3 linked regions of the Nothobranchius furzeri genome follow. The protein of the gene in region 3 interacts with the protein of the main gene of each other region in a pairwise test. Links are inferred from orthologs where the notes say so. Each region holds a gene or a part of one and is shown on either strand. Other genes may lie near its edges. The genes, in order: rabac1, reep6 and snx15.

Region 1 (5,131 bases), on a different chromosome or scaffold from region 3:
CCTTTCAGTGACAAACAAATAAACAGCTTTAATAAACATGTTAGCTTAACAGTTTCTATCTATAGCAACATTTACGTCTAGATTAATATACTTAAAGAATAATTGTTGCATTTAATTTGGTTCCTGGAGATTATCTGAAGACTGCTAACAACTCACATCCTACAGTAAGAGGCGTCCAGTGTCTAAACTTTATTCAGTACTTCATGCAAGTTTAAAACTATTTTATTTTTCTAATTGAAACAGCATATTGTAGTTTTCAACAAGAAAACTAAAATAACTTTATTTGGCACAAACTTGAATTGTAGAATTGTGCATTCTTTTTCCTGTCTTTTGGAAAAATCTCCGACCTCATGCATACTCCAGATACAACTCATAAATCTTTAGAGAAAGGGCTTGAAGGACTTCCACTTACTATTTAAGGAAAACGAGGTTCTTAAAAGCAACTTTTGTCAAAAAAAAAAAAAAAAAAGAAAAGAAGAAAACTCATTTTCAAGCTATTTTGGGAGATATTAGGAAGTTAGGAAGTTTTGGGGGATGTTAACCTAATTTAGTAATTTAGCAATATTTTAACACAATTATCAATTGTTTGAATAAACGTTCTCCAGTTTGGTTTATTTGCTGTTATTTACCCTATTTTGTTGAGCATTTTTTTAAATAATCTATTAATACTGATTGTTATTGGAAATTAAACAAAAATATAAAATATAATTAGCTTTTTTGGGGAAAATGCAACTATTTACACCATATTTTCTGACATTATTTATACTTATAGTCGACTAAGTTATAATATATATGTGAGATTTTGAAAAAATATGACATAGAAATGTATTTTCCTCGGGAGTCAGGATATAAAATGTTAATGTACGTGAGCTCAGTGTGTGTGGAGCTGAACATTCCTGCCTTTTACCGTTTCAGCTTGACGCTCTCCACACACACGAACCAGTCAGCGGTGTCGTTTTTATCTTCAGGCAAAATGTGTATGAAAGCAGCTGGAGGCTCCTGAAACGACTCGTTCCTCTTGTGTTACGGTTTTACGCTTTATACGAGTTTATGTATCCTGTCACGGTTTCTGTGGAGAAAAAAACGGTCATTAAACACCCAGCCAGGACAGCTGTTGAGCTGAGTAAGCTAAAGAGCCGAATAAGCTAAAGCTAACGGAGCCAGCGTAGGCTAATATGCTGCTATGGCGCTGTGTCCCCCTTTAGTGCATTTGTAAAAAAAAACGCGTACATTTTGTTTTAGCATTGAAACGTTACTTTATTAATGACTAACAAAAACAGAACTGTCATAAACCCCAAGGTCTGAAGATTACATTTAACAACACGTAAAAACATTCCAACAGCTAAATTTGATAAGATAATTAATAGCGCCTCACCTTCTAATGTTTGTTTCCTTTCTTTCGCTGGCGGATCTAGCAACTTCCACAGTGCCGCGTGCCCAGTGACGGCAGCACCACAACACTCGTCTATCTACCAATCACAGCCTCTTTGTTTGTTACATGACGTAAGGTCACGTTTTTACCATTTCTGATCTGCAGTCAGTTTTTCGTGCTTGTGTGGTTTTGAGCAGCCACCGCAGAAAACAGGCAGCCGATCTCAGGTCGGCTTTTTCAACAGATGTGTTTTCGGCTGTTAAGAGAAAAAACTCCGTTTTTTGGATGAAGTAAAAATAATGCAAAAAAATAAATAAATAAAATAAAAAGTAATACAAATGAAAAGTTCCACCTGTGTTGTGTAACACAAAATTCGAAGTACTCTATGTAGCCAGTAGGTGGCCCTGCCTAGAGTCAGCGAAGTAGGAAGTTTTTTCTTCTTCTCCAGCAGCCACATCACTTCCGAGATCCAGAACAGCAACAAAAGACAGCTCAGGCTGTCTGGTGAAACTTCTGCCTACATTTTGGTGAATGATTTAAGGGTTTAGCATTTTGGCAGGTATGTTGTAATTTAAATTCTTATTTTAAAAACAAGTGAAAATTACGTTGACGTTAAATAAAATCCGGAAGTAGACGTAAACATTAGCTCATAAGCTAGCATTTTACATTTACATTCAGGTTTTAAATAGACTCGTCGTGAGTATAATATTTATATTTGAAATTGCTACTTCTAGACACTGTTGTTTGGTAACGAGAGTTTCTCGGTTATCCTGTTTATTTAGTGATGTGGCACTGGCCGGGCCCTGTTTCTACTTCTTCCTGTTTCTCTAACTAAGGATCGCCATTAAACTAGAAAGACATGTAATCATTAGACAGTGATTGTTTATACACTTGAGACCGTTTTAGATTATGACGTGTCAAATGTGGCGTTTTAAAATACGAAAAATCAAAAGTTAGCTCCATTGACATTTGCGATTATTGCTTTCAAAACAGCTTAAGAACCAGGGAGGTTTACTGGGAACACGAGGAATATGAAAGATAAAATAAGAAGTGTTGGGGTTAAAACATGTGTCTACAGTAGATCTGAAGGTCAATGAAAATGGTGCAGTTATAGAAACGACCATATGTCAAGTTTTCAGTCAATATATCTTTTGGAATCCGTTTTGTGTGTGTGTGTGTGTGTGTGTGTGTGTGTGTGTGTGTGTGTGTGTGTGTGTGTGTGTGTGCTAAAGTACCTTTTTTTAATTTCTCAAATTGTTTAATCTTTGGTATTTTGTCATCGATTCTAATTTAAAAAATAGGATTTAAATGTCCACTACACTACACTACACCAGTTTCAGAAATGTTTTATGCCTGAAGGATTTATAGACTAGAAATAAGGGGCTTCATAGGCAAAAAATAATAATAATAATACATCTACCAGAAAATGAGTGGAAACGCAACCAAAGTCTAAATAAGATGCTACACCGTTGCATCAAATAAAAATGAGTAAATCCAGGCTAATTGTTTTTGTAAAAGTTTAGTCCACATTCAATGTGATTCTGTTTCAGTCAACAGTCTCTAAATGTTATCTGGAGTGCCTAAAGGGGAGAACGTCATGGTGGACATGGACAGCAAAGCTGGAGATTTGTTCATCCCAGATGAGGCCCATCCAACCGGCACAGGGGGCATCGGAGTCCTCTCAAGGTGTGAACCACCATGCTTTCATATTTTTACCCTGGCTTTGGTGTGTTGATGATATTCTATTTTGTTTATTTTTATAGGCTCTGGCTTCCTAAAGGCATCTCGGCCAGCATGGCTAAGGAGTGGTTCGACAGGCGCAGGTTGTCCATCCGACCGTGGGCCAGCTTTGTAGACCAGCGCAAATTTTCAAAACCTCGCAACTTTGGAGAGTTGTGTCAGAGGGTGGTTAAAAATGTGGAAGTTTACAACAGCAACTATACCTTCATATTTCTGGGGCTCATCCTCTACTGCATGTAAGACCTAATCAAAGAGAGCTTCATTAAAACAAAAAATGTTAATTAGATCATCTGTGAGACTCTGGCTTCTAGAAAAATGTCGACAGTCTGCTTTAAATAGCTCCAGCCTGACAGCCCTGTTCATTTTTCCTGCTCCTCAGTATCAGCTCGCCCATGCTGCTGATTGCCTTAGCCGTGTATGCTGGTGCCTTCTACGCCATCCACCTTAAGTCTCTGGAGTCCAAACTGGTTGTTCTCGGTGAGTACATTTCCTACAAATCCATAATCTTTTCAAATTTACCAGATTTAGTTTTTTTTTTTTTTTAACATTCAAGGTCTATTTTTTTTTATTCTGTGTGAAACCTTTTAAATATGTCATCCATGCCTGTTCTGGATTTAACCCACGCTGCATTTAGCACCACAAACCCTATTTTTAATATTTTTCTTCATATTTCTTGTTTATCAGGCAGAGAACTGACAGTCCCACACCAGATGAGTCTGGCTGGAGCCGTTTCTCTGCCCGTTTTCTGGTTGGCAGGAGCCGGAGCCGCTGTGTTTTGGGTTCTCGGTAAGCTGAACATGATTTGTTCTTTCCTCGTAATCTTTTTCTGATGTTTCATCTTGATTAAGAACTAAAATCGTTTCTTTTTACATCCATTTTTCCTGTTCTGTGTGGTTTCCTGTCAGGAGCAACTCTGTTTGTGATCGGCTCTCATGCTGCGTTCCGAGAGTTGGAGGCGTCGGACCTGGATGAGCTCCTCATGGAGCCGGTCTAAAGAGCTGCTCCATGATCAGTCCTCGTTTTGACCCTTTGAGAATCTCCTTGAAGATTTTTTTATATCTATACATATATCCTTCTTCCTCATGTTTACCTTATGGCATTGTATTACGAATGCACCTTATGTTGCATGATAAATAACTGTTGTTACACAAATGCATAAATAATGAATTTCTTATTGCTTGAAGCACATTATTCGCCTTTATCTGCATATATTAAGCCTGCGATGCCTCTGGTTTGTGCCATGAAGCCTCTTGCTCTTTAGCGGAGCATCTGCGCTGAATTCCTAGCTGTGGGCATCCTGCAAAGTAAATTCTGACGGCACCATCCAAACTGCTGGTATCGACGCATGTCCGAAGGTCAAGTGCCATTTAGTTTTTTAATTAGTTTTGAACATTATGTGGCTTCTCTTTTTATTTATTTGATCAGCTCTGGTTCAGACATTCTGGTGGGAAAGGTCACGAAAAGCACATTTTAGAAATTCATTTGTAAATTATGCGTTCTGTGCTGAAACGTTGGAAGTGCAATAAATTCTGTTACTGTTACTTGTCTTTAGTTTTATTCTCGTAAGAGTTGGCGTGTACATGTGCACGCACGGGGCAGTCGCTGCGTCGGACTCGGTGGCCCTCGGCACATATTTCTGTATGTGTTGTTATTCCAGTCCAGTCTGAATAAGACAAACCCACGACTCCTCTTCTCCCTGTATCTCTTAAGTGCACCAAACTGCAGCGTGCACCCCCCCCCCCCCCCCTTGTTCCACCTCTTCACGCGACCCCTGTGACCTGTGCTCTGTGACAGCGCAGCAAAAAGACCCCGTGCTCAGGTTGCCATGGCAATGACCTTGGAGGGCCCCAGTCAGACGCACACTCGAACACGGGAACACTCGCTTACACACTGCGGCAAAGCCAAGCGATCGATATTCTATTATACGTAGGGTGGCGAGGGGGGAGGAGAGGCAGCGAGCTCGCTGCAGAGACACGGGGGAAATTAGAACAAGGGTGAGGGCGAGAGGGTGTTTGTCAG
Region 2 (5,131 bases), on a different chromosome or scaffold from region 3:
GTTTTTGTGCAGCCTATGGTTGCAACAACCGGTGTACAATTGAAACCAGATCACATGGGATAACTTTTCCAGCCTACCTGCTGGGGTTTGATATTTGAAATATTTTTTTTATTTATATTTATTTTTTTAATTGTAATGCCATACCTTTGTGTCTGATTTTGTGAAAAAGCTTGATAAACTGTGTTTTACAGTTGGATAAGTAAGCACCTTCCTCAATAGAAATGAATGCACTCGGGGCGAATGGAGACCAATCTAAAATCGCGGCCAGCCACTACGGCAGCTCAGATGGGCAAAATGTCTTGTTTTTATCAGTTACGCCACCTGTCTCGTTTAAGACCGATCTTAAAGAGTAAGCACTTGGAATCAGTCATCCACGCTTTCGTCATCTCTCGCTTGGACTACGCTAATGCATTATTAGTTGGAACTCCTGTCTCTGCCCTGAACCGGTTGCAGGTTGTCCAAAATGCCGCTGCTAGGTTTTTAACAAACACGAGTCGACATACTGTAGCCATATTACACCAGTCCTGGAACATCTTCACTGGCTCCCCATCACATTTCGTGTGCATTTTAAGATATTGATGTTTGTTTTTAAAGCCCTACACGACCTAGCTCCTCCATATCTGTCCGACCTGCTGACTCCATATGTACCTACTCGTATGTTGAGGTCAGCTGACCGTCTACTGCTTTGCACTCCCCGGATGGCCTACAAATCACGAGGTGAACGTGAGTTTGTCCATGCTGCCCCCATGCTCTAGGACTCACTGCCCAGTACAGTCAGGCTGGCGTCCTCTCTGCCTGTTTTAAATGTCGTTTAAAAACCTACTTTTATGACTTGTCTTTTAGACAGTGATCCATGTCATCCTATTAGGATTTTATAGTTTTTATTGTTGTGTTTTATCGTCCTATTGTTTTTACTTTTGTTTTAATTGATCCTGCCTGTTCAGCACTTCGGTCAGCTCTCACGCTGTGTCTTAAACTGTGCTATAGAAATAACGTTGGCATGGTATGTTTACAGCCTGGTACCAGAACATGTTTTTGGTTTAAATGATCTAGTTTACACTCATGACAACTCTGAGGGGGGTGAATGTTTTTCTCACTCTTCTGTTTAAGTGTATTAAAAGTCTAAAATTCTGTATAATTAATGAGCCTCAGACCCACGTGACCACAGAGCTAGCTCCGTGGAAAGGCCTCAGTAGAGCCTCGGTCTCGCTTAAAAACTGTTCCGTCATTTTCCGTCTCTCAACTTAGACCATTAGTTGTAGCGTTTGTGTTCTTTTTTGGATATTTTTGTGCAATTGTTGGACAAAATGACTTGCTGTGGCATTAATTGCACTAATAGAGCGTCCAAGGAGTCTCCACTTCATTTTTTCGGTAAGTAAAATTATATTTATGTATTTTAGGTCACTGCCGAGCTGAGCTTAGATTTTAACATGTACTGTTTAACCATGACATTTAAATGTAATAGGGTAAAACCCAGTGCATTTAACATAATGCTGCACTTTAGAAAATGGGTTGAAATATAACATGTTGGTGGAGCTGGGTTCCCACTATCGGTATGGTCCCCTCCCCTCAGCGGCAGCTCGGCGCATCGCAGCGGCGCCTGTCTGCTGCGCGGCTGCCGGCTTGTGGAGCTCTCGGTTGGAAACCTCTGTGTTCCACCCGGTTTTACCCAGCGGTCAGCCTGGCACATCTCCGACTCAGAAGCTCCGGTGTTGTGCACAGTTTGCTAGGAAGCTACCTCTGTTAGCTTAGCTCCCCCCTCCGCGTTGGCTTTGGTTTAGCTTGTAGCTACATCACTGTTCGACGGGTGTCATCATTTGATCCCAGCCTTACAGCCCCACCTTCAGCTCCACCTCTTTTCCCTTTTATGGGATTGTCTGGGCGCGACGAGACGTGTGACACAATCAAAATGGCGGTGGTGGCCACCTCCCATTTCAAATTAAAAACTTCTCATACGAGCCTATGTACAGGAATCGTCCACTATATATATATATATATATATATATATATATATATATGTCGATGGTGTCAAGCTGGGAGGTATTGGGTCCCATTTTTTAAAAGTCTTTGGAATGACCCGATTGGGATTTGAACCCCCATCTCCCAATCCCAGGGCAGACACTAAAGTAAAAAAGGTAGCACAGTCAAATAAAAAAGTAGTTCACTGTAGGATAATTATTTGATGCTCTGAATGCTTTAGACAAAACAAATTTACTTAAATAATTGGTTGTTACAGAGAGCCAACTTCTCGATCGAGAGGAGCCAGTTAAGGTGGCTCGGGCATCTGCTTAGGATGCCTTCTGGACGCCTCCCTGGTGAGGTCCGACTGGGAGGAGATCTAAAGGAAGACCCAGGACACGCTGGAGGGACTATGTCTCTCTGCTGGCCAGGGAACGTCTCAGGATTCCCCCAGAGGAGCTGGCCCAAGTAGCTGGGGAGAGGGAAGGGTGGGCCTCCCAGTTAGACTACTGCCCCCGTGACCCATCCCCGAATAAGCGGGCCGAAAACGGATGGATGTTTGGTTGTTTGTTTGAAAGTTGTTAATAAAGGTTTTTATAAAAAGTAGCTCAGTGACCAGCATCCCTGCATGCATTGCGGTCGATCACGCAACACTCCCTTTTCCAGTTCAGCGATTATTTGCACACTTGTATACCGCACACTCGAAGCCTTACTGCACACTTCCTGCAAGTGCACTCTGCTTAGTAGACAGGGTTCAGAAGATTTCACAGATGTTTAGTAAGAATCAACAGGAGGAGAGGCTCCAGAGATGAATAAAAATGTTCAGGACAGCAGGACTTCATCTTGCTTGTCATCCCAGGAGTTTTCTAAGTTTGAGCAGAACGTTGTAGGGCACGGGCTGTAGCCAGAGCTCCTTAAAGGAAAAGCAGCTCACAAGACACTCCCGTAGTTTGGGATTTAAAACAGGAAGTGCATGATAAAGATTAGCCACTAAAATGTGGACTTCTGAAGCTGTGTCAGGATGGGACTCAGAGCCGAGTTGTAGGAAAATAAAGAGTTTCAGCCGCTTTAACTCCAGGACCTGCTGGGAACCTTCACCAGAACACGGTCTGGGGGAAGGCGGATCAACAAAAGGAAACGTCTAACGATGTCAAATTCAGAGGGTTTCTGTTTGAACCAAAACCAACAAACAGGAAATCAGATGCAACTGAAAGGAACATAAAAGTGAGATGAGGAGGCAGTTTAAAGTCCGATTATGCAGAATAATAAACAGAAGCTTTGGCTGCATCTCCTCACAGGAGGATTAACTGAATCCTCTTTTCTCGGACTCGTCCAGGCAGGTACCGTTGTGTCACACCTGGACAGAATCCACCCAGAACCACGGACACCTTTCATCACCTGAACACAGCAGGAGCTTCCTCACATACCCACAGCCAGGACCTTTTTCTTGATCCCCGTCTTTTCCTCCACCTTCCCCAGAAAATCCGTCACCACGTTCTTCTCGTTCAGAAACTTTTCTGCTCGGTCCTTGATGGAGGTGAGAACACCCAGCAGTCCCATGGTCTCCAACAACGTCCTCAAAGAGAAGCAGAGAGGAAAGGATCCTGGACCGGCAGCTGGCAGGTAGTAATCCTCTCACAGCAACAATCTGTTGTAATGAGGAGGTGGAGCGGTGAGGGAGGAGGTGCCTCGTGAGCATCCGTTAATCCCAAAATCATTCATTCAAAAGTCTCATTCTTAGATAGAAACATTAAAACTTCCCCCGATGATTATGTTATGGTTATATAGTTGTTTAAAGTTTCAGTCTTTGCCTTTTCTCCATTTCTCGTTTTTATTCTCCATCAAACACAAAACAGATTTACTCATCCTAAAGGCAAAGTTGTTCATATTTTTGAATCAGCATCTTGAAACAGTGAAATGTCACTCAGACCCCACCGCCCTCTGTGGCCAGGATACCTCAGAGTCCTGGGCCACCGCCTGTTGTGCTGCTGCCAGCATGTTTGTTTTAGATCATGGACACAGTTGTTTGTTTAATTTAGTGATGAATCACTCCTGTAGACACTAAAGAAGGCTGGGGAGACATTTCAGCTATTAGATTTGGGTGTTAAAAAGAAAAAGGCACAGCGAGGAGATTGGTTTCATTTTGGACCACAGATAATTAATAATGGACACTAGGGGGTGCTAAAAGCAAGAAAAACTGCAGAGTGTGCCCTTAAATGCCAGTTGTGCAGAAACAACACAAAACATCAAGGGGCCATGTAGGTTTTTTTAAACCTTAAATGGTTTTATTTATATATATATATATATATATATATATTTTTTTTTTTTTTTTTGGAGCACACTAGAACTACAGCTGGTAACTTTTACTTATAATGTGTTACAGTCATATCCCCATTCGCACATTCGGGTGCCTTCACAAGCATGTGAGAATGGCCTTGTTTGAGATGAGCGGCGCCTCGCCTGGAAAACAGGTGAGAGCAGACGGACGCAGCGGTGGGAGTGGCTAAAAGCCTGCGTTTAAGTGGGACAGGTTTCTCTACATGTAGCTTGCGGGTGACGATGGCTGAAGAAATCGCATTAGCGTTCATAATTGCGTAACCCTCTGGTGCCTGTTAGCAACTGAAACACATCCTCACATGCGTGTGGAGATCATGTGTTGTAGACATGTGCTTATGGAGACATGACTGTAACAATAAGTAAAGGTTAGCAGCTGTAGTTTTAGTGTGCTCATAGGAAACGTGACAAAAGAACGTAATCACATTTCTCTGTATGGCCTGTATAGTTGTCATCATCAACGTAACATGATTTACAGAATACATGTGACCAACTATCATTTAACGTTCCACCACAGGATGTTTGGATCAAAAGTCGGCGTTGAAGCTTCTTTCCGGAGTATTTCTCTTATCTGATGGCACCATCTAGTGGCTGACAAGCATATCACACAAAAAGTCTGTTCCTCTGTTTGTTTAAGATGGCGACTTCACGTTTCTGGTTATAAATGTGCTTCTGCAGCTGACAAACGGAGCTAAAACACGCTGTTTTACGAGTATTATTCTCATGTCATGTTGTGTTTTCATATATTTATATTTTAGAGACTTACTTGTCCGTGAAACGTTCATCAACTCTGCATCAGCCGAGGTATTCCTTAAATTTGAAGCACGTAAGCGGTAGT
Region 3 (5,073 bases):
AAAAGGAAGTCCAGCCCATTAACAGAAGAGTCTGTGTAAGAACAAACCCACAAAGAGCAGAACCGGGTCGGGAGCAGTGTTGGGAAAGTTACTTTTAAAAAGTAATTAGTTATAGTTACTGATTACTTTGTCAAAAAAGTAACTCCGTTACTAACGGAGTTACGAGATTATAAAAGTAACTACTTACCAAGAAAAATAACTACTTAGTTACTTTTTTCATTAAAGAATACAAGAAAAATTGGTTAATTGAACTTACTTAATTTACTATAAATGACTACAATAGTGAAATATTAATAACTAATGACTGGAGCATAATAAAGTGTCCAAATGTTTTTTATAAACCTGAATAATTATAAAAATAAATAAGCACTTAACAGGAGGAACTACTAACAGGAGCATTACACTAATCTAGACTATTAAAAGGTCTCTGTGTGATATCTAACAAGACCCCAATCAGCTAACATTTAAAACTGCAAATAGAAACACCTGTAAAGGTTCCCGAGCCTTTAAATGGTCTCTCAGTCTAGTTAAATTACAGAAATGAATGTAATTTTGTACAGTAGTTTAATTTTTCCAGCTTCACATAATTGTGTGTTTTAGTAGCATTTCTGTTGCTGCTAGTCTAGTAACGGTTAAATAAATAAATAAATTAACCTTTCTCAGTGGCCTAGTGGTAGAGTGTCCGCCCTGAGACTGGGAGATCAGGGGTTCAATTCCTGGTCGGGTCAATCCAAAGACTTTGAAAAAATGGGACCCAATGCCTCCCTGCTTGACACTCAGCATTAAGGGGTTGGATTGGGGGGTTAAACCACCAAATGGTTCCCGAGCGCGGCTGTGTCTGCAGCTCACCGCTCCCCCAGGGGATGGGTCAAATGCGGAGAACAAATTTTGCACACACACCTGTGTGTGTGTCCACTAGTTGGACTTTAACTTTAAATTTAAAATCCTTTAAAATGACACGTGAAGAGGCACAAGCCTGATGGAGGACTCACATTTACTAACGTGGGTCAGACCCAACCACAGAAGAGCTGAAGCTGGGTGGTAACACACACAGGTAGTTCTAATAACACCTGAGCTCCATGACGTCTGAGACTGATGCATCAGTGTTACAGCGGGACTAAAGACATGATCAGGAACAGGTTACAGCTGGATGATCTAGGAAGGTAGAAGATCAGGACGTCTGAGCGGTGAACAGGTGAGCGGACCTTCAGGACGTCCCGCTGTCACGCTAAGAAGATCCACACCTGCAGCCGTAGATATTCATCACGTCTTCCTCGTTCTTCACGGCCGTGATGCTCTTGGATGAAAACATCTGCCTCTTTAGCTCCTGATCAGCTGATGACAGCTTCAACACACCGCGCTGCTTAACGCACGCATTTCCTTATCAGTAACAGAAACCACGTTTGATAAAAGAAGACGGTAATTAATTAGTTTGCTCGTTACTGAAAGAAATATTTTTTTTTAGTAACGCGGTTATTTTAAACGGCGTTACTCCCATCACTGCTCTGTTGTGTCTACAGCAGGCAGAGACTGAGACCGTGAGGGTCTCCGCCCACCCGGCCAATCATCATCGTGTTTGTAAGCGCCTTACCGACACCTCTCTCTCCCTGGCTGCAGCTGAAGTGTGGCGGTCAGAAAGCCTCACACTGCTGCTCAGCGTTCGACAAGCACATAGTAACGCACAACCTCCCGTCCCCAGTAACGGTAACGGCGGTGCAACGGTGGGAGAAGTAATTAATTAGATTATTCCCTTACCTAAAAAAGAACGCCGTTAGTTACGCCGTTATACTTAAACAGCGTTACTCCCATCACTGCTCAGGAGTCATGAAGGCAAAAGTTACAGGAAGTAAAGAAAACAAGACCGGTGCTGGAAAAGGCAACGTTAGGATATGAAACGGCCTCAAGTTGTTCACATTAACTAATGGAGGTGTGGAAAAGCGTAACGTTTGTTTACTAAAGTAAATGTTTGTCCACCTTGTTTATAGCAGGGATCAAAGACAGCCAGGTCGTTATCTGAGAGGGGAGGGGGTCCCTCGTCCTTGGAGGACAGGGCCCGGTCTTCCTCCAAACCGTCAAACAGAGAGTCAAACTCCTCTTGAGCCGCTGCTGATCGATGGAGTCTCACTGGAGACGGCTCGGGGGAGGAAGCTGGAGCACGAAACGAGAACAAACAGGTGAAAACGACAAGACAAGAAAGAAAAGATTTCTACGCATTCTAACATCTATACCCCGATCTTCTGGTTCTGCGTCGCTAACATCTTCTTCTTCTTCTCTGGGACATCTCTCCACCTCGCTGTAGGCCTCAGCAGCTAGCTCCGGTTCCCCCACCACTAGGCTGATGTTGGTGCCCAGGTCCTGGGGTAAGGTGGGCGCCTCTCTGCCCTCCTCCTCTTCAGCAGGCTCACAGTCTGAGGCTCTCCGCTTGGGCAGGGGGATAAGCGGGGGAGGGAGAGCCCCACCCAGGGACAGGGGAGAGGAATCAAGCGGTCTAGTGACTTCTCCACCCTGGAGGAAGGGAGAAGTGACATGACAACAGTCACAGTACAGCATTTCTATGAGAGACTAGTTTATTTTGCCCTCCTCACCCCGAAGAAGTCCTTGAGCTGTGGGCTGTTGTAGAGCGCGGGTATGCTGGCGGTGAACAGAAGCATGGCTTCTGCCGCCTTCCTCCTCTCCTCAATCACAGCTTCGTCAAACCTTCCTGGAGCAAACAAAGGAAGGGTTGATGAACTGTAGATAGACGACCTACTAAGCTAGTGTTTACTCTTTCAGAGCCGCATTTTCCATCTCCACCTACAAACTTCCCCTTTGGTTACCACAGAGGGGGAGATGTCACAAGAACGATGGCGGCAGACCGACAGGAGCAAGCAGCCCTTCTGTCTGATCCTGACGCAGCTCTGAATGAAACCAGTCCGCTGCTTGTAACCGTCCTCGCTCCACGTACCAAACACCTGCGCTCGTGGGAAAGCTGGGAAGTCCTCGTGCCTCCTGAACAGGTTCCTGTGCGTGTAGACCAGCTCTCCGTGGAGCTTCTTCAGCTCTGAGAACCTCTTCCACACCACCACCTCCTTCACGTCTTCGGGATGACGCTTGGACACAAACTGCCAAACACATTCAGAAGTGAAGATGGATCCTTTCTGCTCCAGAGCATTAAAGAGGTCATGAGGGATCAGGAGCTCAGTCACGAGTTCTCTCTGTGTTAGCCTCGCTGGCTCTGCTAAAGGATCCGCTGTTTGTTTTCATATCTGAGCACGGATCGGATATCTGTCTGTTTTACTCAGGTAACTTGTTTTTCTGTTCTGTTACAAACGTAAATGGTGTCAGAAACTCCATTTAGCGTTATTAGAGTTAATTACAGTGTAACTACAGTCCCCGAAACGGCAGATAAAAGGATAAAGAGCAGAAACTAACCCGGGCTGACACTCGGTACTCGGTGTGCCCCTTCTCGTGTGTCCGCGGGTCAGTCACCGTAAAGAAGCGATAATAGTCTTCGCTGACTTTCCTCGACATGTTCTCTGTCGGTTCGGTTCTGACTAAATAAAACTCAGAACCACAACGGAACCAGTCCGAAATCGTGGAGACGCGCTCTGTTGTGATGCTGCTTCAGTTACTACGCGCCACGGACACTTCCTGGTTGGGTACGTCCGCAAAACGCGATGACGTATAATGGAAGCGACGTCGCAAACTACAATAGACCGTTCTCCTTGGGCCCAAATTCTCGCCTCTTATATTGCTAATAGTCCTATGAAAGGTATAAACATAGCAGACAGAGAGGTTGTCATCAGCCAGCTGGCAGATGATACCACCATTTTTCTTAAAAATGCTAGTCAGGTGTCAATTGCCCTGAAAATTTTAGATGACTTCTCAAAAGCTTCTGGATTCATATTAAATTTAAACAAATGTCACTTATTACCTATCAACAATTGTAATGATCATAGTATTTGTAATATAGCTATTCAACACGAAGTAACATATTTAGGCTTGATTATCTGTAAAGATAAAAAAAACAGAATTACCTCTAATTTCTCTCCAATAATTAAAAAACTCAATCTAAGTTAAATCAGTGGTTACAAAGAGATTTAAGTTTAAGAGGACGAGTGTTGCTCTCCTAAGCAGAAGGTTTGTCTCGCCTGACTTATGCTGCCACATCTCTGCATGTGGACAACAGAACTTGTGGGGAAATTGACCGAATGCTCTTCAACTTCTTGTGGAAAAACAAAACACATTACATTAGAAAGAGTGTAAAAATGAATGACTATCAACATGGAGGACTCAATATCTTGGACTTCACTACCTTAAACTACACGTTTAAAATTAAATGGACAAAACATTTTCTTAAAAATCCTGTCTCCATTTGGAATTTTATTCTTCACCATATCTTCTCTAAATTTGGTGGTCTAACTTTTATCCTGGGTTGTGACTACAATGTAGGAAAGCTGCCAGAAAAACTTTCAATGTTTCACAAACAAGTTCTATTAGCCCGGTCACTGATTTATAAACATAATTTTACTCCCCATACATACTTGATCTGGAATAACAGGAACATAGTGTATAAAAACAAGTCATTGTTTTTCTCTAATTGAGTTGAGAAGCAGATAATTTTTGTGAATCAGTTGTATAATACTAATGGACAGCTCATGTCTTACACAGAACTCCTAAACACATATAAATTTCCAGCATTTCCCAAAGAATATGCCACACTGTTTGCTGCAACTACCATCGGTGTTAGAATGCTTTTTAAAGGTGTTCTACCAGTTGTACCGCCTATTTCTCCTCCCGACCCCGTGAACACATACGTGGGAAAAGTTTGTCTTATCGAGCACAAAAACAGTAATAGGAATATCCGTGCTTCATTTCAGAGAGAATCCTTATCTGTTCCATATGTGATTTTTTATTGGAATTCCTTTGTCACTGACGTCAGTTGGAAAAGAGTATGGACCATTCCTAATAAGTATTTGGTGACAAATAAGGTCAAAGAAGTTTCATTCAAAATACTACATAAGTGTTAACCAGCTAATCACTATATGACAAAGTTTAATAGGGACATTGATGTGAATTGCTGTTTTTGTGGAA

What was found.
Region 1: the proteins of snx15 (region 3) and rabac1 interact in binary tests that used the Homo sapiens proteins (3 or more experiments, as listed by UniProt). The two-hybrid records come from large-scale screens. The link is inferred for Nothobranchius furzeri from reciprocal best matches to the Homo sapiens genes SNX15 and RABAC1.
Region 2: the proteins of snx15 (region 3) and reep6 interact in binary tests that used the Homo sapiens proteins (3 or more experiments, as listed by UniProt). The two-hybrid records come from large-scale screens. The link is inferred for Nothobranchius furzeri from reciprocal best matches to the Homo sapiens genes SNX15 and REEP6.

What each region holds. Positions count from the first base shown.
Region 1 is NC_091745.1:74,794,735-74,799,865, reverse strand, and holds rabac1 (prenylated Rab acceptor protein 1), read left to right. Parts: upstream 1-1,796; 5' UTR 1,797-1,931; intron 1,932-2,922; 5' UTR 2,923-2,936; coding exon 2,937-3,058; intron 3,059-3,135; coding exon 3,136-3,348; intron 3,349-3,491; coding exon 3,492-3,589; intron 3,590-3,796; coding exon 3,797-3,898; intron 3,899-4,017; coding exon 4,018-4,106; 3' UTR 4,107-4,653; downstream 4,654-5,131. UniProt on the Homo sapiens protein: General Rab protein regulator required for vesicle formation from the Golgi complex. May control vesicle docking and fusion by mediating the action of Rab GTPases to the SNARE complexes.
Region 2 is NC_091748.1:78,701,671-78,706,801, forward strand, and holds the start of reep6 (receptor expression-enhancing protein 6), read right to left. Parts: upstream 3,520-5,131; coding exon 3,387-3,519; intron 1-3,386. UniProt on the Homo sapiens protein: Required for correct function and survival of retinal photoreceptors. Required for retinal development.
Region 3 is NC_091754.1:59,456,038-59,461,110, forward strand, and holds the start of snx15 (sorting nexin-15), read right to left. Parts: upstream 3,637-5,073; 5' UTR 3,511-3,636; coding exon 3,412-3,510; intron 3,102-3,411; coding exon 2,945-3,101; intron 2,702-2,944; coding exon 2,586-2,701; intron 2,506-2,585; coding exon 2,229-2,505; intron 2,149-2,228; coding exon 1,975-2,148; intron 1-1,974. UniProt on the Homo sapiens protein: May be involved in several stages of intracellular trafficking. Overexpression of SNX15 disrupts the normal trafficking of proteins from the plasma membrane to recycling endosomes or the TGN.